Saccharomyces cerevisiae S288C: one gene and its partner. The protein of the gene in region 1 binds, or shares a complex with, the protein of each later gene. Each region holds a gene or a part of one and is shown in the gene's direction. Other genes may lie near its edges.

The links.
Region 2: the proteins of SEC17 (region 1) and SEC9 are in contact, whole or in part, in a cryo-EM structure (PDB 9CRU), measured with the Saccharomyces cerevisiae proteins. Residues at the interface, in NP_009503.1 of Saccharomyces cerevisiae: Arg114 (codon at 10,181), Gln152 (codon at 10,295), Ser153 (codon at 10,298), Val154 (codon at 10,301), Ala155 (codon at 10,304), Leu156 (codon at 10,307), Lys159 (codon at 10,316), Arg192 (codon at 10,415), Leu193 (codon at 10,418), Trp196 (codon at 10,427), Arg236 (codon at 10,547), Phe266 (codon at 10,637), Arg268 (codon at 10,643); in NP_011523.3 of Saccharomyces cerevisiae: Lys449 (codon at 2,943), Gln452 (codon at 2,952), Asp453 (codon at 2,955), Glu455 (codon at 2,961), Met459 (codon at 2,973), Leu462 (codon at 2,982), Gly463 (codon at 2,985), Met464 (codon at 2,988), Gly466 (codon at 2,994), His467 (codon at 2,997), Glu470 (codon at 3,006), Asn474 (codon at 3,018), Asn478 (codon at 3,030), Gln600 (codon at 3,396), Gln603 (codon at 3,405), Arg607 (codon at 3,417), Met611 (codon at 3,429), Thr614 (codon at 3,438).

What each region holds. Positions count from the first base shown.
Region 1 is NC_001134.8:115,400-126,657, forward strand, and holds SEC17 (alpha-soluble NSF attachment protein SEC17), read left to right. Parts: upstream 1-9,725; coding exon 9,726-9,755; intron 9,756-9,871; coding exon 9,872-10,720; downstream 10,721-11,258. Other genes in the region: YBL055C (3'-5'-exodeoxyribonuclease), read right to left, coding at 174-1,430; TOD6 (Tod6p), read left to right, coding at 2,190-3,767; SAS3 (histone acetyltransferase), read right to left, coding at 3,980-6,475; PIN4 (Pin4p), read right to left, coding at 7,354-9,360. UniProt on the Saccharomyces cerevisiae protein: SNARE complex protein that binds to cis-SNARE complexes on membranes and is required for vesicular transport between the endoplasmic reticulum and the Golgi apparatus and for homotypic vacuole fusion.
Region 2 is NC_001139.9:501,675-512,600, reverse strand, and holds SEC9 (Sec9p), read left to right. Parts: upstream 1-1,598; coding exon 1,599-3,554; downstream 3,555-10,926. Other genes in the region: nicotinamide-nucleotide adenylyltransferase NMA2, read right to left, coding at 1-1,056; STF2 (ATPase-stabilizing factor family protein), read left to right, coding at 4,237-4,491; ECT1 (ethanolamine-phosphate cytidylyltransferase), read right to left, coding at 4,661-5,632; mRNA splicing protein PRP18, read right to left, coding at 5,776-6,531; transcription factor IIF subunit TFG2, read left to right, coding at 6,742-7,944; PEX31 (peroxisome biogenesis protein), read right to left, coding at 8,275-9,663; cullin CUL3, read right to left, coding at 10,235-10,926. UniProt on the Saccharomyces cerevisiae protein: Component of a SNARE complex that may be the effector of SEC4 function in exocytosis.

The sequences.
Region 1 (11,258 bases):
GTTGGTAACCTTTGAATCCTTTTTGATGAAAAAAATAGAAAAAAAAAAAAAAAAAAAATGAAAGCAATATCGACTGTATGTATATGCGCACCATAATTTTCCTATTAATAGTTTAAGCATAATTAGTGTACTTACTAAAAATAATGTAACTTTGCTCTTTGCACCAATAGATGTTACTCTCCAAATATCTTACAGGTCGTCTTCCACGTGGTATCTATCAAAGTAGCCAGATCCACGTCCTTGACTTCCGATACGACAATTGCTACTTGTTCCATATTACAAGGCTCATTACGGCCCTTGACCATGTAAAGTTCTTCTGCATTCAACTTGTCAGCGAGCTTATTTTTCTTAACGGACTTGAATGCAGGGTATTCGAAATCCCTAACCTCCTGGTATTTGGCTAAGTACTGGAAAGATGCATGCGTTCTTTTAATCTCACACCACGGAGCATCTGTCTCTAATAACAACCTTTCTGTTGGTATTTGCTTTACAACAGCTAGATTTTCCTCGGTTCTCAACGAGCAACCGTTTACTCCTATGAAGATGTTGGGTGATAAGTTCAGTAATTTCTGCAAATCTATCGCAGAACCAGTGAATGAATGGACCACTAGTTTTCTATCTGGATGAAATTTGTAAAACCCGCTAGACGACGATGCACCTAACTTTTGTAGCTGAAAGGTATCCCTCTCATCAGTGAACCCGGCAATAAATCTTTCCAATATTTGAACAAAATCGTCACATGCGCTTCTCATATGCAGAAACAATGGATAGCTGCTGAGTTTATCGTTCAAACAACTTATTTTCAGTTGCTCTTCAAAAAAAACCTTTTGCATCTCTTTAGAACTATAGTGAAATCTGTCGTAGTCCAACCCGATCTCACCAATTGACCTGAAACTTGTATCATGAGGTTTTGCTTGCTGATTCATCAAATCATAAAGCTCTTTCAGTTTACCCTGTGCAAAAGATGGATTACTAATAACTTTAGCATATAGAGACTCATTATATGCTTCATCCATGGAAGGGTTATCAATAGAAGCGCTAGCCTTGTCCCCTTGACTAGCATCCGCAAACTCGTTAACGCAACATGGGTGAACACCTATTGTGTGATACAGCTTTAACGGGCTAAGATCTTTGACGCTGCTTACCAACTCAATGGCACTTTGAGACTCCGCTATGGATGATCCTGTAACAAGGGCATTTTTCACGTGCCTCTGAGCAGCACGCTCTAATAATTTTACATAATCTGCTGGATGGTACTGCTTACCATTGTAAATACCGTGAAACATAGGATCTGTCAGATTCAATCCAATATCATAGTATTTCAGCGGAGAATCCGTGGCAGTTGATGTCATGCTATAATATTGTGTCAAAATTGGTTTCCAGAGCCTAGAACAACTTTTGTTCGAGGATTTCAATAAGATGCCCCACATATAACTATAACAGTACTGGCGCCTCAAAAAAATGCCTTGGCAGCGAAAGTGTCCACCTTTAGTTGTCCATTGCTACCAGGACATCACCACTGGGCCCTTCCAGCATGCTGGAAAGATTGTTCTTAGAAGAGTGCTGTTCTAAGTAACCCGGCGTTAGTAGGGGCTAAGCCTTCTAGAAGGCCGGAAAAGGCTCAGAAATGCCTGCAGTGCAAAGCTTTTCAGGAACGTTACTAGCGCAAGTCTTCTGGCTGCTGTTTAGCAACCTCTTTGCAGGTATTTCGCAGCGGGATTTCGCAGGTGTCTTGCCTAGCGTATCAACACTTAGTAGCAGTTAGGTTCTAAAGTTAAACTCCACTTCCGTTCTTCTTCGAGTTCCTTTTTGAGCGGTTTGGCCTATCTTGTCTCATCATCTTGTTAGTGTGCGACGTTATCTGTGGGTGAGAGAGGCTATTTTTGGTCCGGTGAAAAAAAAATTTTTTCTCTGCTGAGAGCTGAAATTTGAAAATTGAGATGAGATGCGATGCGATGAGATGCGAGACCAATGCGATGAGACACTTTTCTACTTCCTTACACAGAAGTCGTGTATAGTTTTTGTACGTTGATATTAATAAAGGCTTTTCATATCATTTTGTTTTCAGGTAAACAAATCTGGCAAATCTCCACTGCTTGAGTCATTAAAACTACTCACTCAAGAAGGCATATACACGACAGTGGGTAGAGAAAAGAATATATCACTGTTCTTATTGAAGTTCCCTCGCGATGACGTTGCCGAAACTCAGTAGCGTTTCTGTTTCATCAGGACATGTTAGTGCCAACTCACATGGTTTCTCAATACTAAGCAAACACCCTCACCCAAATAATCTTGTCCATTCCCACTCACTTTCTCACACAAATGCGAAGAGCCACCTGCCTATCAGTAGCACTAGCACTAAAGAGAACAGCACGAACAAGGAGGAGGCGGAATCACTCAAAAAAAACAACCCCTCTTCTTGGGACCCTAGTGATGATATCAAGCTCCGCCACCTGAAAGAGATCAAGAACTTGGGCTGGAAGGAGATTGCACATCATTTCCCAAATAGAACTCCTAACGCTTGTCAATTCAGATGGAGGAGACTGAAATCAGGCAACTTAAAGTCTAACAAGACCGCAGTTATTGACATCAATAAGCTATTCGGCGTGTATGCGACTGGTGATGCTACCCCATCCGCGGGTACTCCGTCTGCGGAAGAAGCCGTAAAAGAGGAAGCTGTTGAGGATGAAGATATTACTGCAGGTTCTAGTGCTATCGAGGATTCTCCACCGGATTTCAAGCCATTAGTTAAGCCTAAATACATGGACAGAAAACTGATAACTCAAAGATCTACATCAACATTTTCGGACCATGAGCCACAACACACGAAACCAAGGAAACTGTTTGTTAAGCCAAGGTCCTTCTCTCATTCTATAACAACCAACACGCCTAATGTAAAGACTGCTCAGCAGACAAATCTAAGCCTTTATAACACTACTTCAGCAAAGACAAATAAAGCTGTTAATTCCAATGATTATGAGAATATTGGTCTTGTGCCTAAAATTATTATCAGGTCTAGAAGGAACTCCTTTATTCCTTCAACTCAAATCCCTCATTCAACGACGAAGACTAGGAAAAACTCGCATTCCGTAATTTCTTCTAGAAGATCATCTTTTAACATGATGCATTCAAGAAGATCATCCTTCAACTCTCACGCTCCTACGGAGCCTATTTCTAGAAGAGCTTCCTTGGTAGTTAGCCCGTATATGTCACCCAGAAGGTTATCTACATCGCAATCCGTTCATTATCATCCACAGCACCAATACTATCTTAACCCCATAGCGTCTCCCAACTGCAAGACAGACCACGCAAATGACAAAATCACGCACACGAGGACTTTCTTAGATATGCAAAAATTCGCTAATAAACACCCGTGGTCTAGAGAAGATGATGAAGTGCTACTTAACAATACGAAGGACAAACAAAACCATTTGTCGCCGCTAGAAATTTCTATTGTTCTGCCTAATAATAGATCCGAGTTGGAAATCCAACAAAGAATGGATTATTTAAAGAGAAAAGGACGTGTAAGTGGTTTTCATACAAATGAAGGATGCAAAGACGAGGAGGAGGAGGATGACATTGACCCACTGCACAAGGAGAATGGCATTAACACGCCATCGCAGCAATCGCAAAATTACGGTATGTTAGAGGCTAAACATGATAATCCAAAGTCTAGTGAGCTTTCTTCTATGACCAGCGCAAATGACATACGCAATGAGCAAGATGAACTTCCAGGTATAAATTCTATCTTTAAAAATATATTTTAAGCTAAGAGACGAATTTAGTTTGTTTTGACTATTCGTTTAATGAGTACAAATTAATCGCACCCACACATGTACACACACACATATATATCTTTATATATACACATAAAATTTATTCGTAGGAGAATTCTGTAATACTATTGACTACAAGGGTTCTTATTGCTATTAATAATGTTACATGTATATGCTTATATCCAATATATACCCATCGCCGCTTATTCTTCGTCATCCTCTATTAGAGTTATTTTTCTTCTTTTTCTGACTCTCTCCTTCCTTATGTGGCTTTCTATATCGTTTTCATCCTGCTCTTGTCCTTTTCTCTTCCCATCCTCATCATCATCACTGTCTTCTTCATATGTGTCTTCCTCCTCATCATTTTCTTCTGATATTTGCTCATCCTCAATGTCATCATCAAGGGTAAAGTCTTCGTCTTCGTCTTCATCTTCTTTGGCGTTTTCACCTACATATAATTCAGTATCTACATCGTTTTCTACTTCATCCTGCTCTAAACTTGATATTCCAGTATCGTTTCTCCTAGCTGCATGATTTCCAAGTGGTGTTTCGGAGTTTTTAATAGTGAAGCAGAGCTCCCAATGAGTTTCTGTACTAAATTTTGATCTTGGTATCCCTTTGCGATCATGGATGCTTTCCAGCACTCTTTTTTCCGCTTGATAGATTAATCTATCATTATTTGTGTTCTTATAATCACACATATACTCTGTTAAGGAGGAAACAGTGTCTTCAAAAAAATCAGTAGCAGGTACTTCCGGTTCTATGATATTGTTTACATGAAGCTTGGATGTTTTGTGCTCACTACTTCTTCTTCTTCTTCTTCTGCGTTTATTATGTGCTCTACTGTTGTTATAGTTTTCTATATGTGTGTTATTCGAAATTACCGGAGCCATAGTTTCATTTGTAAGAGCTTCGTCCGCTAATGCGGTGGGTTCTAAGTTCATCATCCCATTTATACCAAATGACGGCCCTAATATAATAGGTTCCCACAATAGTTTGTCATATTTGACGCGAGGATAGTTTTTTGAGCTCCAAGTTTTGTAAATATTTTCAATCCTGTTCCAAGAATCGATTTTAATAATATAGTTGAAATCATCCAAACTGGATAATGAGCGTGTTTTATGGCGATACAAAACTTGAAGTTGTTCCAATCCAAACACAACGTCTGTTGGTATCATTCCTGTTAGTTTAGCGATATCGTTTAGGCTAACCTGCTGAAAAGTATCTTCATTTTTATTATTTGATCGACGTCTAGCACTGTCTCTTAATTTTAATAGCACTTCAGCACATTTTATCTTCCAAAACGTTCTGTAAGTCAATAATCCTAAATCCGACAATGGTTTTTCAGGAGTTCCAAATTTTGACTCCTTTCTGGATAATAAATATGAAAATTCCATCAAAAACTGACCATATCCTTTCCTCTGGTATATGGGTAGAGTTAAAATACAACTTAGGTTATAGTCATTGGAGTTGAATTTTTCCTTGGAGAAATAGCCTACGAAATGGAATTTGGCTGCGTTTTGATAGGGATGGTTCTCTGTATCCTCTCTCTCCGTTAGAATATAGAATATAAACGGTTCAACATCGTAATACAAAGTCTTAGAATTGATAAAACATTTTGCCAACAGGCAAAGATTTTGACAATACAAGACATTCTCCCGCCCATCAATTTCCCAAACAGACAGCTTACCGTCGCGATAAATTTCATTTCCGGGGGGCTTAAAAGTTAGACACTTTAGTTGGTGTCTATAAAAAGTATATCGAGAAGTCATATATTTTAGGCAGAACTCACATATAAAAACCATTTTATTTTGGTTGATGTGTTCCGGAAAAGGAGATGTATACCAAGGTTTAATTTCATAATTTCGAAGAACAATGTATTCTATCTGGGAAAACCACACTTTATTTTTGATTCTTGGTACTTTCCCTTTCCTTTTTTTCCTATCTTCGTTTTCTTGATCGGTTTCATTATGATTGCAAAGTGATACGTTACCATTAATGTACGTTGCAGACTTAGAGTTTTCTAAAAATGTAAGAAACTTTATTTTATCTTCCCAGGTGGGTAAAGTTCTTTTTGTACTGAAATCTTTCATTTTTTTTATTGTTCCGCCGTATGGTACGTACCATTGCCAAGAATCGTTATCCCTGAATGGCGTATTATCAGAAGAATATGGGTACTCCATGTTTTCGGTTGCTAGATCCCATGTTTGCTTTAACCTGTTAACTCTTCTTTGAAACCCGATTAGAGGACCGGATGATGTTATATTTTTGTTAACTAAAGGTGCTATGACTGAAGATTTAGATATTAGTCTTTCAAAATTGAAAAATTTGATAGAATCATACTTAATTCTAACCTTCAACTCCTCGCTGACTTCAATATTAGGTTCAATAATGGGGAAACTTACTGCTCCCATCTTATTGTCCCTATTAACGATATTTTGAGAAGAATTTTCTGACGCAAGTTTGGACTGCTGGGAAATCAACCCTTTTTTTATTTTATTAAGGCCTTTATCAGACCGAACACTTCCTCTTATTCGATGTGATATACTGGCATCGGAGTTGAATAGTCGTCTTGTAGTTCTATGTCCATTTGTATCGCTTCTGACAAATTGAGAATGTATCAGATCATCGATCTCTAAGTTTTTCAATAATGCATTTTTTTTGGGTTTTGGCGATTCGTCGTTTGCTGTTAATGACATTATCTGCAAATTATACGGAGACTAATTAATGAAGAAGGAAGAAGAGAGAGGGCGGTATGAATAACACCTATGAGAAAAGAATAGCAATGCTTTTCCTTTTTTACCTTTTATATTCGTTCTTTCTTCTTTTGCCTCTTTTAATATGCTTTGTTTCTGTGCTATTTTCCCGACTCTTTATTTCAAACAATGAAGCCCCCAATTAATCAAGAACCACCAAAATAGCATGTCAGTTGAACACTCAACGACTAAAAAAACGAATAATTTCTTGTTCAATTGGCCTGAACGTTTGACTATGAAACTTTCTGCTCTTCTCTGATCATTGTAAACAAAGAAATGTCAATAAATTATTGTTACCCGACTTTCTATATACTACAAATACCGCCAATGATGCAGTGAGCAAGATATCAATTAATGCAAAAACAATATCGAGTAAGGTAGAAACATCTCTGTGATTAAACATCGTACATATAAATACCATATATAAAAGTATGTGGGAAAAGAACGTTCAAAAAAAAAAAGTAAGTAGTAGGTTAAAAATAAAATCTCAAAAGAGGGAAAAAAAAAAAAGAGGGATAATTTTGGCTTGATTACATTGCGTTACTTAAAGTAGCCTCATCATTCATTCATTATCATCGTTTCATCGACATTAGGTGACGTTTCTCAGTAAAAATTAACTTCATCATGATCATTAATTTCATATTCATATTCGGTTATTTTTTTTTTTTTTTATATTTTTTTTCAATGGTGTTTTTGATGGTTTTTATTATATATATATATTTTTTTATCTTTTATCTTGTGTAAGCACCCCTCATTACTTGTATCGTGCGATATACAAATACCAAACAAACTCTATAATCATAGAATAATGGAAGTATATATTACCATAGATTCTTCTTGTTTTGGTTTTGTAAATCCAGTCCGCTTAAAGAACGATTCAAGCCCTGTTCCAAGCCATCATCTAGTCCAGAGTGACTCAAAGATTTATAGATCAAGTCGGCACTATTCAAATTGTGTGCGGACAACATGGACTCATCGTGATAAGACTGATATGAGAAATTAGAATGTACTGAGCCATTTGTGTGCTGTGGAAGCAGTTGGGACTGTGAGTTTGCTGAAGATGGGCCGTTAAGGTTGTACAACTGCTGGGAAGACAATGAAGCATTTTGGTATGCCACTGGTACCCGTTGTTGAGTTTGGGACTGTGCTGGTGGTTGCGCTTGGGATAGGGTTTGGCTGTTGATTGGGATTTGTGAATTTGGAGGTGAAATTTGAGAATTTCTCAGTAAGGGATTAACGGAATTGATTTGATAATGGTTGGCAGAATAACCGGATGGAATTCTTGAGGATGGTGTTAAAGTAGCTTGTTGTCTTAAAAAAGATTGTTGTTGTTGCGCAGCTGACTGAACATTTTGCTGTGTTTGTGGTTGAGGTTGTTGCGGTTGGTCTGCGGAATTGTATTGAGAACTATGGTGTATGTTCATTTTAGGTGAGGTTAGTGTTGGTTGCATGGAGAATTGTCCCTGTGAAGAAATTTTTGGTGTTGAGCTGGCGCTATTGTTATTAATGATGACATTGTTACCGTTACCGTTATTACTGTTAATAGTATTGCTGTTGGAAGAATTGTTAACGGCCTGATTGCTAATACTATTCGCTGCAGCTGCTGCATGGGCCTGTAACAAACTTGTATAAGATTGTGACCTATTCATGGAGCCGCCAGTGGAGTTTGGCTGCAAAGGATGAGCAGATGTCATTTGACCTTGTTGTTGCAAATGAGATTGTAAATTAGCATGATCCAGAATCTTTCTTCTGATAATAATAAATCTTGGATCATATACTTCTACTAGCCCTAAGTACGAGCACAAAACATTGATAATTCTCTTGTGGGAAGCGGATATACCCATGGGATAAGCCAACTCGTAATAATACTTTTCTCTATCCTTAAATAACAATAATTGGGAATAAATTTCCAAAGTGTCAGGGTCATTGAAGTCCAGTTGTTGGGGTGGGAGAGGCAAAGTGGAAGTTGATGGTAAAGGCGCATAAAATCTCTCAGTGGACATCTGGGCTTGATTATTAACGTTTGTTTGGTACAACGATGAAGAAGTATGTTGGGCAGAAAGTGAAGGTTGGTTCAGAATGATGTTACCACTATTGTTGTTATTAGAACTGTTATTGTTAATGGTATTATTCATTGGACTGTTCATCATGCTATTAGCATTAATGCCGTTCATTAGAGTCGAGAATAATTGATTGTTAGAAGTATTATTGTTTCCGCTTCCACTCATTTTAGATAAAGAATCCAAAGAAAGATTAGATGACGATCTGTGTTGTTCTTCTAATTGTCCTCTTTTCTCTCTCTTCTCCCTCTCGATTCTTTCTCTTTCAGCTTGGGGAAGCATTTTTTTATATTCCACTTTCAATTTCCTCCCGCTGATTTCCTTTCCATTCAAAGAAGTTATCACTTGAGTAGTTTCTTCAGGAGTGGTGAAATTCGCAAAGGCTAGTCCTCTGAAAATACCGTTATCAAAGTGGTAATTGAAGGCATAAGGAAGGGGAAGATCCATTTCTTCAATAATGTCTAACAATTGCTCTTTTTTAATAGCAAACGGAATGTTTTTAATAACAATAGCATTTGGGATAACATCATCGTCCAAAGCACCATTGGTGGGGGCATTATTCAAATTTGTAGAAGAAACGTTTTGTTCGGCATTTTTTGCAGAGTTCTCACCAGTTTCCGTTTGCACACCGTTTTCTTTGTCAATTGCATCTCTAGTTTCGATAGATTGCTGATTTGTTTCCTGGTCATTAGTCTCCGTATTTATATTATTATCCTGAGCATCATTGATGGCTGCAGGAGGAGCATTCTCAAAAGAACTGGTCTCCATTTCTTATTGTTGTTGAACACGCTTTCCCTAGTCTGTAGCCTGCCTCTATGAGTACTATATCACACTTCTTCTTGCGCTAATCTCCAAAGACCTGCTGGTAATCTCAGCTGAAAGGCTGCCTTTAATTGTTATTCTTTTCCAGGAAAAAATCGCAAAGTTGCAGCATCCGTGTTTCGTGACATCATTGAAGGTTACCCTAATCTATTACCTCGGATTAACTTGAATTAATAAGGACACACAGGTATAGGGAAGGTAAAGTTGAAGTAATGATAAGAAGTGGGCAGCACCGAAGCAGTTTATCTGAACTAACTTCTGTACGACTCGAGAATATAGTAAGAACACCATCATTAACCTGAAAGTTAAAAATGTCAGACCCTGTAGAGTTATTGAAAAGAGTATGTAGTAGGGAAATATATCAAAGGAACAAAATGAAAGCTATGTGATTCCGTAATTTACGAAGGCAAATTACTAACATTGAAATACGGGAATTGATATTTCCCGTTGTGTTAAGGCTGAGAAGAAGGGTGTTCCTTCATCGGGTTTCATGAAATTGTTTAGCGGTTCTGATTCATACAAGTTTGAGGAGGCTGCTGATCTTTGTGTCCAAGCAGCCACCATTTACCGTCTAAGAAAAGAGTTAAACTTGGCAGGAGACTCGTTTTTGAAAGCTGCTGACTATCAGAAAAAGGCTGGTAATGAAGACGAAGCAGGAAATACCTACGTAGAGGCTTATAAATGCTTTAAAAGCGGTGGAAACTCTGTGAACGCCGTGGATTCATTAGAAAATGCTATTCAAATTTTTACTCATAGGGGGCAGTTCCGGAGAGGTGCTAATTTCAAGTTTGAGCTTGGAGAAATTCTAGAAAATGATTTGCATGACTATGCAAAAGCTATAGATTGCTATGAGCTCGCTGGTGAGTGGTATGCCCAAGACCAGTCGGTAGCATTATCGAATAAGTGTTTTATCAAATGCGCAGATCTAAAGGCTCTTGACGGTCAATATATTGAAGCAAGTGATATATATTCGAAGTTGATCAAGAGCAGCATGGGCAATAGATTGAGCCAATGGAGTTTGAAGGATTACTTCCTAAAAAAAGGGCTTTGTCAGCTAGCTGCTACTGATGCAGTCGCTGCTGCAAGAACTTTACAAGAGGGTCAAAGTGAAGATCCGAATTTTGCGGATTCAAGGGAGTCAAATTTCTTGAAAAGTTTAATCGATGCTGTTAATGAAGGTGATAGCGAGCAGCTAAGCGAACACTGTAAGGAGTTTGACAATTTTATGAGACTAGATAAATGGAAAATTACCATTTTGAATAAAATTAAGGAGTCCATCCAGCAACAAGAAGATGATTTGTTATGAACGGCATATACTTACGCGCACATACATATATACATATATATTATAAATGTAACACTTGTTTTACCCGAAACGGCGAAGTAATTGTGTACCGCCGTGCACCTTTTCCTCGAGATAAACATATAGCGATGACTTAGAGAACAAAGTAGTATTAGTATCATATACTTCCAACGTTAATCAAGCGCAATAAACCTTTGTTCGTGTGTTTCAAAGTTATTGCAAGAGCGAAGTTGAAGCCATCTTTTCACGAGAAGTTAGCTGTGGTTCGAGTCTGTCGCACGCCGTGTAATGTAAGGATCTTCCCTTAGCTTTTCTGATCCGGAGCCCTTGAGGGATATTACGCATCGCGTATCTTCATACGATTACTGTACTTTGCTGACTTGCATTCTTGATATTGGGCTATAGTTGGCACTTCGCTCGTTTCTTTTCTTTCGTTATATAACGTAACCTTTTTTTTTTTAACTTCCTTATCCTGCCCCTTATCACTCTGAACCCCATAGATAAACAAAGACAGAACTCTGTCCTACTTTATCTATTACTA
Region 2 (10,926 bases), on another chromosome or scaffold:
CACTTTCGTAGAGGAAATATCATTGTAAATAAGTTGTTTGATAATAAGGATATTTCTTCTGTGTTCATACATGATATCATGGGAAAGCAAGAAGGACCTAACATCAGAACCAGTCCTTTCCACGATCAAACATCCATAATTACCCAAAATATGGTGCAGGTCTGAATCAGCCCACACATGAGGCTCGCCCATGGATTCGATAAGATCACCGCCTGCCAATAACATGATTTTTACGCCCATTTTTTCACCATCTACAGTCATGATTCCACCTCTCTTGATATTTATTTCATGATTGAAATGGTCCAAGACTTTTGCTGTCCTTGTATAACTTGATTGTAAAGATTCCCAGGCATCAACCATTAACCAAGATGATGTCCGCTCGCATGCTAATTCGCACATGCGGACACGATGATAAGCTGGGGCTAACCCTCGCTTTTGATAGTTATCACTTACTGGAGAAAAATAACCACCAACCACTTCAAAACGCGTTTGCTCATTGATATCATCTAAAGCCATTTCAAACATTCTCAAATGTAGGTATGTTATGGGAGAAAATGATCCACAAGCAACGATGATCAGAGGCAGTTTTTCAGGATCTTGTAACTTTTTCGTCAATCTGTGTACAGGAAATTCGTAATCTTCAATAGTTCTGGCTTGTCTTACAATTGTGTGAGGAACTTCTTCCAAATCAGCAATTTGGCTCTTCAGTACCCCCAAATTCCCAGTCATCGTAACATCCTGTAGAGTAGCGTCAATTCCATTCGATTGCCCTTCACTTTCCTCCTCCGATGATACATCCCGAGATAGTGGCTGGAAGTCACTAGTATTTAATGGAATATGGTCCATTCGGTTGCTTGAGTTGGCGTTTTTTTTCCTTGACGACAGGGTTTTGTAAATGTCGAGATTGAAAGGAGCATCGATCGAAGAATTATAATCAGCTAAAACATATGGAACTATGGGTCCAGATTTTGGTATCGTATGTGTTGGATCTGGCGGTGGTTGTAGTTCTTCATTTGGCTGTGGCGGTTTAAAATCGGGTGCTTTGGTGGGATCCATTACGTAATAAGTGCACTTTTTCTTGCCTTCTCCACTTTAAACTCTCTCTCTCTCTCTACTTAACAGTGGAGGAACAGTGACTAAGGTAGAGTATGATTGTACTATAACTTACAGTCTACTGTCGTCACGCTGGGTCAATTTACATTGTTATTTTTCTTGGAGACGACACCGTCACATATGGACAGCGAGTATGGTAGATGGTATAAGCAAAAAATGGCCAGAAACAGGCGATTATTTGGTAAAACGTAAAGATTGATCAAGACGATAAGTTTGAGAGATTGTGAAGCTAAATAAAATCGTATTGCGAGTATTTTACATTCCATATACGAATAGTACGATATCCATGTGGGGTGCGACTCAGAGACTTTCTATTACCCGTCTTTCAAAAAGAAATGAGATACGTTGATCCTGCTTTTAACAATTTCGAATCGTTTGCGTAATTATATGACTTGCTCCGGTGTATAAATAAATAAAGTACATTCTTGGTACTCCTGAACCTAGCCTGGAGTAACTCGGAATAATACACCATTGACACCAAAAGAATGGGATTAAAGAAATTTTTTAAGATTAAGCCTCCAGAGGAAGCGACACCAGAACAGAACAAGGATACTTTGATGGAACTGGGTATTAGTGTCAAAAACCCTAGCAAGAAAAGAAAAGAGAAATTTGCCGCCTACGGTAAATTTGCAAATGATAAAGCTGAAGATAAGGTATACGCGCCACCAGGTTATGAGCAGTATGCTAGGCCACAGGATGAACTTGAGGATTTGAATGCTTCTCCCTTAGATGCCAATGCTAACGAGGCAACTGCTGGTTCTAATAGAGGTTCAAGTGGCACGCAAGATCTCGGAAATGGAGCAGAATCCAATTCTATGCAAGATCCGTACGCTATCGAAAATGATGATTACCGATATGATGACGATCCTTATGCAAGGTTTCAAGCTAATAAAAGTAATGGGAGAGGTAGCGTCAATGCTGCGCCTTATGGTGATTATGGAGGGGGGTACAATGGCACATCTCTGAATTCATATAATAACGATGGCCCGTATAGTAACCAAAATACTTCAAACAGCTGGGTGAATGCGAATGGCCGTAATAGTTTAAATCATTCAAACAGCACTTTAAACGTAGGGCCTTCGAGGCAAACAAGGCAACCGCCGGTTTCAACGTCGACCAACAGCTTATCGCTTGACCAAAGAAGTCCCTTAGCAAACCCGATGCAAGAAAAGAGAAATCCTTACGCTGATATGAATAGTTATGGCGGGGCGTATGACTCCAATACTAATAGATCTAGCGGTACTCGACAAGGAAGCTCCAAGAATGCAAATCCATACGCCTCTATGGCGAACGACTCATATAGTAATGGAAATTTGAACAGGTCTGCAAATCCATATTCTAGTAGAAGTGTGCGTCAACCGCAATCGCAACAAGCTCCAATGACTTATACGCCCTCTTTTATTGCTTCTGATGAAGCAGCACGCAATAGTGAAGTTGATTTAAATGAAGAACCTAGAACAGGTGAATTTGATTTTGAAGAAGTTTATGCTGACAAGTCTGCAGAAAATAGAGCGGCATTAGATGAGCCTGATTTGAATGCAGTAATGACGAATGAAGATTCAATAGATTTAAATGCGTCCGAAGTTGATCATAGTTCAAGACAGCAGCAGCAGCAACAGTGGTTCATGGATGAGCAGCAACAGCAACAGCAACACTTTAACGCAACAAATAACCAATATGGAGATCAAAGGGGTTACAAAACATTTGAAGAAATACAAAAAGAAGAGGAGGCTCGCCAGCAGCAGGAAGAAGATGAAGCAGTAGATGAAATCAAGCAGGAGATCAAATTTACGAAACAGAGTTCCGTAGCCTCTACTAGAAATACACTAAAAATGGCTCAAGACGCCGAAAGAGCAGGTATGAACACATTGGGTATGCTGGGTCATCAAAGTGAACAATTGAATAACGTAGAAGGAAACTTAGATTTAATGAAGGTGCAAAATAAAGTTGCAGATGAAAAAGTTGCAGAACTAAAAAAATTGAACCGTAGTATATTGGCTGTCCATGTTTCTAATCCGTTTAATTCCAAGAGAAGGAGAAGGGAGAGGGAAGAGCAGCTGAAGAATAGGAAAATTGAAGAAAAATTAATGAGAGAGCAAACAAGTCAACAATTGTCTCAGTCCACTCAAAGAATAGAGGGTGCTATGAACGCAAATAATAACATAAGTGAGGTGCGGGAAAGATATCAGAGGAAGAATGTTCTAGAAAAGGCAAAGAGATATCAGTTTGAGAATGATGAAGAAGATGACGAAATGGAATTGGAAATTGATAGGAATTTGGACCAGATTCAGCAGGTTAGCAACAGATTGAAGAAAATGGCCTTGACCACTGGTAAAGAATTAGACTCTCAGCAAAAACGTCTCAACAACATTGAGGAAAGCACTGATGATCTAGATATCAATCTCCATATGAATACCAACAGGTTGGCAGGTATCAGATAGAATATGCCTGTAAAAACTATGTAATATATCACAAGTAACAACATTTCATCACCATTACTACCATTATGTAGAAATTTATGAGCAAAGACAAATAAGTAAAGAAAAAGACATTGATATAATATAAGAGTATGCTTTCTTCATTTTAATGTTTGGTTGTGAATTGAAAGAATACCATTCGGGCACGCAATAGTTATGAACTTAACCGAGCTCAAATAATTTAAAGATAAAAGATAAAAGATAAAAGATAAAAGACAAAAGAAAATTCATAGCCCATGTTGAAGTATCCCAGCGGGAAATGTTGCTATCCAACAGAAAGTACCAAGCCAGTTTCAAAAAGGTACAGAATTAAGTGATGCTATCCGTCCCACAACTAATTTTCTCCAGCGGAGGAAATATACGCGGAGGGGGGGAGGAAAACCTCTCAGTAAGCAATGAAGGGATAGATAATGGGGGCGCGCCTGCCTAGCTTAGGCTAAGAAACTCCTTCGAAAACAGGGGGCTGCGAGCGCAGAAGCGAACACTTGTCATTTGTATAAAAGGACTATTTATAAGTTTGCTTTTTGTCACTCTCTTGGCCCTAATTACCCATACTATTGTAACAATTGTTGTGTAAACTCAATTATACAAATAAACGAACAATCAACAGTAACAAACCGCTCAAGTGTACAACCAATCAGAAAAAATGACGAGAACAAACAAGTGGACCGAACGTGAAGGAAAGGCTGATCCAAAGTACTTTTCGCACACTGGTAACTACGGTGAATCTCCAAATCACATCAAGAAGCAAGGTTCCGGCAAGGGTAATTGGGGTAAGCCAGGCGATGAGATTGATGACTTAATTGATAATGGTGAAATACCCCCAGTGTTCAAGAAAGATAGAAGAGGCTCAAATTTGCAATCGCATGAACAAAAGTTTGAAAACGTCCAAAAGGAATGAGGGCGTTTTCAAGATAAAAAAAGGTTTTTTGATCTCTGAAGGATAGTGGCCTTCTCCACTGATTTATATGCATCTATAGGTATATACTTGCATGCCTACTTCATGACTTATGTAATACAGTTTTCTTACATCCATTTAATTTACGTTCGAAGAAGTTTTCAACATTTGTTTATATGGACATTCCCTTTTTTTGGTTCCTCGCAATGTAAACCTCCCTTTGCGATTCCACCCTCTTCACAATAAGCTCTTTAGTCAAGTATTCACTGAATTTTCCGGCAGCAGTGAGGACAGCCGTGCCAATATGATACTTCTCGCAGTTATACTGAGACATTGAGGTGGCGTCAGCATCGATAATAACGGCATCAACATATTTACAACTTAAAACGCTCAAGACGCGTTCCTTCATCGTCATAATGGTACTCGAGTAATCGCTTGTGGTAATACCAACAATCAATTTCTTATCGGGGTGAAGATCCATTTTCAGCTTTCTTAACTGATCAATATCCCCCATATGGAATAAGTCAAAATCCCCGTCAACATAAACACAATCTTCTGCATCGAATTTGTATCCACCATTGACCAAGACATTGTCCAAATCCCTCTGAAAGACATAACAATGTTTTGAAACGGCATCTTGGGCGACAGAATAGAAACTCAATTCCTGGGTGGTGGGATAATAATCAGGATGAGTCGGTGGCAAAGATTTTTTCGTCAATATTCTATGTATAATCTCGGTAGTACTTACGCCATATGTTCTTTTAACTACCTTGAAGCGCCCCATCTCTTTCACCAACTTATAGCAGTCTTCTCCATTAGCATCTATGGTGATATCATCACCATGAACAACATATTGGCACTGATATTTATCCATCCAATTGGGATCTGTAACATATGGCGCCGCTTCAACCACTTCCGAACACCACCTATTTGATCTAGTATGCTCATATCTTTCTGAAGAGTTCATTACTGGTGTTCCTTTGTTATGCTGAATATCTTCATCGGTATGCACACCACAGAATAGTTTACCATTTTCTTTTGAAACTGTTCGACGAGCCTGCAAAATGGCTCCCGCATGCCCATGATGTGTGAAATCAAAGCAGCCGTCTATCCAAACTTTATCCGGATCTAAGTTTACCGTCATCCAGTCAGTATATTTCAAGTCCCGATCCTGTAAAGCATTTGTCTCTGGAAAATTGAACAAAGGCTATCAACATCTGCATTCTTGCTTCTTATTTTGGCCGCATGATATCGTGCCACGCGATAACGAAAACAATAGTTCAACAATTAGGCTAAGCTATCGTGGTTGCTGGTATACCATTCTTCAAAAGTTATTAATCTTTTAATACTGGTAATCCATAATCGCGTTCTTTCATCAATCATTATGTTAGCAGCATTCCGGCCTCCTTGAATTTTCGAATGTGCACTACGAGCATGAATGCCTACGCTAGTAACACCAATAGGCCAGGCCACATTGCCGATACTGAGTTTCATATAGGACTGAACGGCTAAATTTATTTCTTTAGGTTGTTGTAAATGATAGAGAACGGTCGCAAGGGAAATAAGTAAATCCGGGGCAAGCTGGTTCCTTCGTAGTTGCAGTAGGAGTGGAAAGAGTGCTTTTTTAGTGTCTAAGAACAGCTCCGGATGATAAGCTTCCAAAGACGCCTTCCAACGAGATAATATTTCGTGAATATATAAATTACATTTCATTGACAAAAGAGGTTTTCCTTCAGTAGAACCAATTTGTGATGGATCAATGATTACAGAGATGGTTTTGTCTTGAGCTATCGCTTCTTGTATCCTTTCTGGCCGATTTTCTAATTTGCTAATGGTGGTCCTAATATCGTCACTCTGATTGTCTGACAGGTTTTCTTCATCTGTACTTTCTTGTTCTACCTGTCGCGGTGTTTCGTCTATGTTTGCGGATTCATGTGGCTGGAATTTCTCAGTGCATGGTGGCTGAACACCTTTAGAGTTGGCCAGCTCTTTCTTCTTCTTAGAAATTTCACCTTTTAAGATACTGGCTAGATCTAGGTCCATTTTATGCTCTTATTACTTGTAGAGGAAAAAACATTGAAGTTCTTTCCATTGGGGCCCTTTCCAAAGGTCGATTCTCTTCTTAACTTTTTCATCTTCCCTTGCGCGAAATGAATAAATTATCAGGCTTGAAATTAGAAGAATAAGACATATGCTGTTGGCTTCAACGCATAACGCAATATTAAGAGTAAAATAGAAGACCAACTTAACACCATGAGCAGTGGTTCAGCAGGGGCACCAGCACTTTCTAATAATTCCACGAACTCTGTCGCGAAGGAGAAATCAGGTAACATTTCCGGTGATGAGTATCTTTCGCAAGAGGAGGAAGTTTTTGACGGTAATGATATTGAGAATAATGAAACCAAAGTTTATGAAGAATCCTTAGATTTGGACTTGGAACGTAGTAATAGACAAGTCTGGTTAGTTAGATTGCCCATGTTTCTAGCAGAGAAATGGAGGGACAGAAACAACTTGCATGGCCAAGAACTGGGTAAAATTAGGATAAACAAGGATGGGAGTAAAATCACACTTCTATTGAATGAAAATGATAACGATTCTATACCGCACGAATATGATTTAGAACTTACAAAGAAAGTAGTAGAAAATGAATATGTTTTCACAGAACAAAATTTAAAGAAATATCAACAACGTAAAAAGGAGTTGGAAGCAGATCCTGAAAAGCAAAGGCAAGCTTACCTGAAGAAGCAAGAACGTGAAGAGGAACTTAAGAAGAAGCAGCAGCAGCAAAAACGTAGAAATAATAGAAAAAAGTTTAATCACAGAGTTATGACAGATAGGGATGGTAGAGATAGATATATACCATATGTGAAGACGATTCCCAAAAAAACCGCCATTGTGGGTACAGTTTGCCACGAATGTCAGGTTATGCCATCAATGAATGATCCTAATTATCACAAGATTGTTGAACAGAGAAGAAATATTGTCAAGCTTAATAATAAGGAAAGGATCACAACTTTGGATGAAACCGTTGGTGTTACGATGAGCCACACAGGTATGTCCATGAGGTCAGACAACTCGAATTTCTTGAAAGTGGGGCGTGAGAAGGCCAAGAGCAATATTAAATCTATTCGTATGCCAAAGAAGGAAATCTTGGATTACTTGTTCAAGTTATTTGATGAGTATGACTACTGGTCCTTGAAGGGGTTGAAGGAACGTACTAGGCAACCTGAAGCACATTTAAAGGAGTGTTTGGATAAAGTTGCCACTCTAGTGAAGAAGGGCCCATATGCATTCAAATACACTTTAAGGCCAGAGTATAAAAAGTTGAAAGAGGAGGAGAGAAAGGCAACCTTAGGTGAACTAGCTGATGAGCAAACAGGTTCCGCTGGAGACAATGCGCAAGGAGACGCGGAGGCTGACTTGGAAGATGAAATAGAAATGGAAGATGTCGTTTAGTTGACAATCAGATTTTCTTCATTAATTTTATATTTACGCAGTTTCTTGAGCCCTATATATACTCTTTTTAAAATTTACAGTTTTGTTTAATTTATTATGTCTCTATTAGTTTTGGCTATCTGTACATATGTATTTAGATGCATTGAAGTTCCGTAAAAGAATGCTTGCTGGAATAAGAGACTGATGGAGAACTTGCCATAACCGCGCAGATACTTTAAAGCACAAGATTGAATTTGTGCTCCATGCAGCCAATGAAAGAAACTCTGAGATTGCTGTGTGCCCTTGCACCGACCAGTGTGAACGTTGTTGTCCATATGGGGCATGCACTCATTATAGAGAAGGAGACATTGAAACATCAGATATTTGTATTAATTTGCTACTGTCCGAGGAAGGTATGATATGCACTTCATTTGCTGTACTAAATGACACTTTTCTTTTTCTAACTCTATTATTTTCTTCACTCTTCAGAGCATGAGAATTCGGTGTAGCTTTTTCTACAGTGGGCTCATCGTCATACGTTGTTGTTACTGTTGCAGTCCTGATCCACCTCCTTCTTCTTGTGTACTTTTTATATGTGTCCGTTGCAGAGGGATTATTCCAGGTGTTATCATAATATATGAAACCTTCATCTGCACCTGGCTTAACTTTTGTCTTAGCAGCAGAAGCAGGAAGTTGAATGATCCCATCATTTGTTAGGTCAAGCATCCAATCTTTATCGTGCCATTCCCAAGCCATTCCCGACTGCTCCTCTGGTAAAGTAAACACTTCTGGGCTTGGAGAAGTATTTAGGAATTCATCTGTCCAAGATGCGCGCTCATAACTCAACATAGTTGATGTCCATCCGATGCCAAGCCAGCGGCGCTGGTTTTCAAACAGAGCAACCTTGAAAAGTACAGTCTTTTTAGTGTTAGATGTGTTCCCTACCTCATTCCAAACAAAGGACCTTATTTTCTTATTGACAGAAGCAAACAAGCGCCTATTATTATCTGGTCCACCAAGGTCTAATCCTGTTATGAAAAATACAAGTAATCTAACAACGCGAAATTTCCACAAGTATCTTCTCATTCTTCGGATTAGTTTAGAATGGTACGTAAGCACATACAGACCCCCTATTAACATTAAATAGTTTGGAGATAGCACAAACACTGTTAGAAAAATATAAACTGGGGATAGGAAGGCAATGGTAAATAACAGTCTTCTAACATCCTGAGCGCTCAAAATCGTAATAGGAGATAACACAGCGCTAGATTTCATAGAAACCCTATCCATAACGTGTATTATATCATCCAATGAAGGGCAAGATGCCATTGTTTCTTGAACGTGCTTGTCAATTAAAAGATATACCCATATTATACCAACGATCATTAAATGTCCAAAATACCTTGTAATAAATCCAAAATATAGAACACAAACCGTAAATAAGAATATTCCAAGCAAGTTTGCAGAGACATTGTCATTGGACCAAGTGATGATACTTAGAAAGTTATCCACAACAATTAAATATGGGTATAACCTCACTAATGACCTGGAGACTGTTTTAGGTGTTGAAGTCAATAAAGGAGATGATAAAATAGCCTCTTGATCTTCCTCATAAGTTTGGGCGCTTAATTTACCTCTTCGTTTTCTTAAAGCGCTACGAATGTGTTTATTCTTGCTTTCTGTAGACTCAGCTACTGTACTTGAGGTTGGCTCTAGATTTTCATTATTTATTTCGCTCATACTATCAAATAAAGGGAAACCAAGGCTTGACAACCAGGGAAGAATACCAAATTTAAAAGTGCCGCTTTATTGATAATAATTTTGGTGAGCTTCTCTTATACCGTAAATTTCAACATATATTTTTCTACCAGGAAAAGTGAAATACGGCCGCTAAGCATCTGAAAAAAAAAAAAGAGCAAGGCGCTGCTATTGATAATAGTTCCTTTGAAGCAGTGCTACGCAGGTCTGAAAGGCTCGTAACTTTAACTTACTTAATGATTAAGAAAGAAATTATTTGACTCAACAAATTCCTAGAAGTTTTTTATAAAAATATAATGAGGCATAATAAACTTCAAGAGATATCGATTACCCACTCCACATTACATTCAAGTTTGACTGGGATATATAGTCTACCATAACTATGTTATTATATATTTTGAAAGTTTCACTAAGGAATGCAGGATGAACATTCAATTAGTATCGACGCATATCCTCTTAATATTGTTCGCTCTGGCAGCCGGATAGGAACTGCCATCTATATATACTGTTGGCATTCTGCAAACCTTATACCTGTGATTTTCATTATAAGCAATTAGGAAAGGTAATGGTAATAAGAGGGGTCATCTGCGTTTCTCTGGATGTATTCTTTCTCTATTAAAAGCTGAATGCTTCGTTTCAAAATGCTCGGTGTAAGACTGAGCCGAGACTGTGTCCGTTTCGTAGTTCTTTCAAGTAATTGCTGATGGCTTAGCTTACCTTCTGTTTTCATGATACGAACAATAATAGCACTAAGCTCCATAACAATTTCATTATCATAAGTGTCCACGGAACTTGCGGTTGCCAAATTATCTGATTTCTGAGATGGTAGAGGGCATGCAATAACCGGCACTTTCACTTTCCTGTTTGGAGAAGAAAAGAAATAATTAACTGAAAATTTCATATTTCCTGAACTGGATGATTTTTTCAAAATCTTACATCTGGGTATTGTCGACATTGACATTACAAGAGACTTAACGTCATCTATGGGAATATGAGTTAGTTCATATATTTCCCCCAACGTTAATTCTTCATAATCTTCAAATAGAAGGAAAATCACTCCAGCGTAAACAGAAAAACTTATTTCGTAGTAACCGCTATTAAATTGGCAGCCAATTTCAATTACACTTAGATGATGAGCCCACTTTAGCACTCTTTCTTTGTATTTTAAGCTGTAATAGCCCTCAAAGCCAGCTAAAATTTGTGACATTCTAGGAGGTAGTGAAATACCTTCATCAATTGGATTAG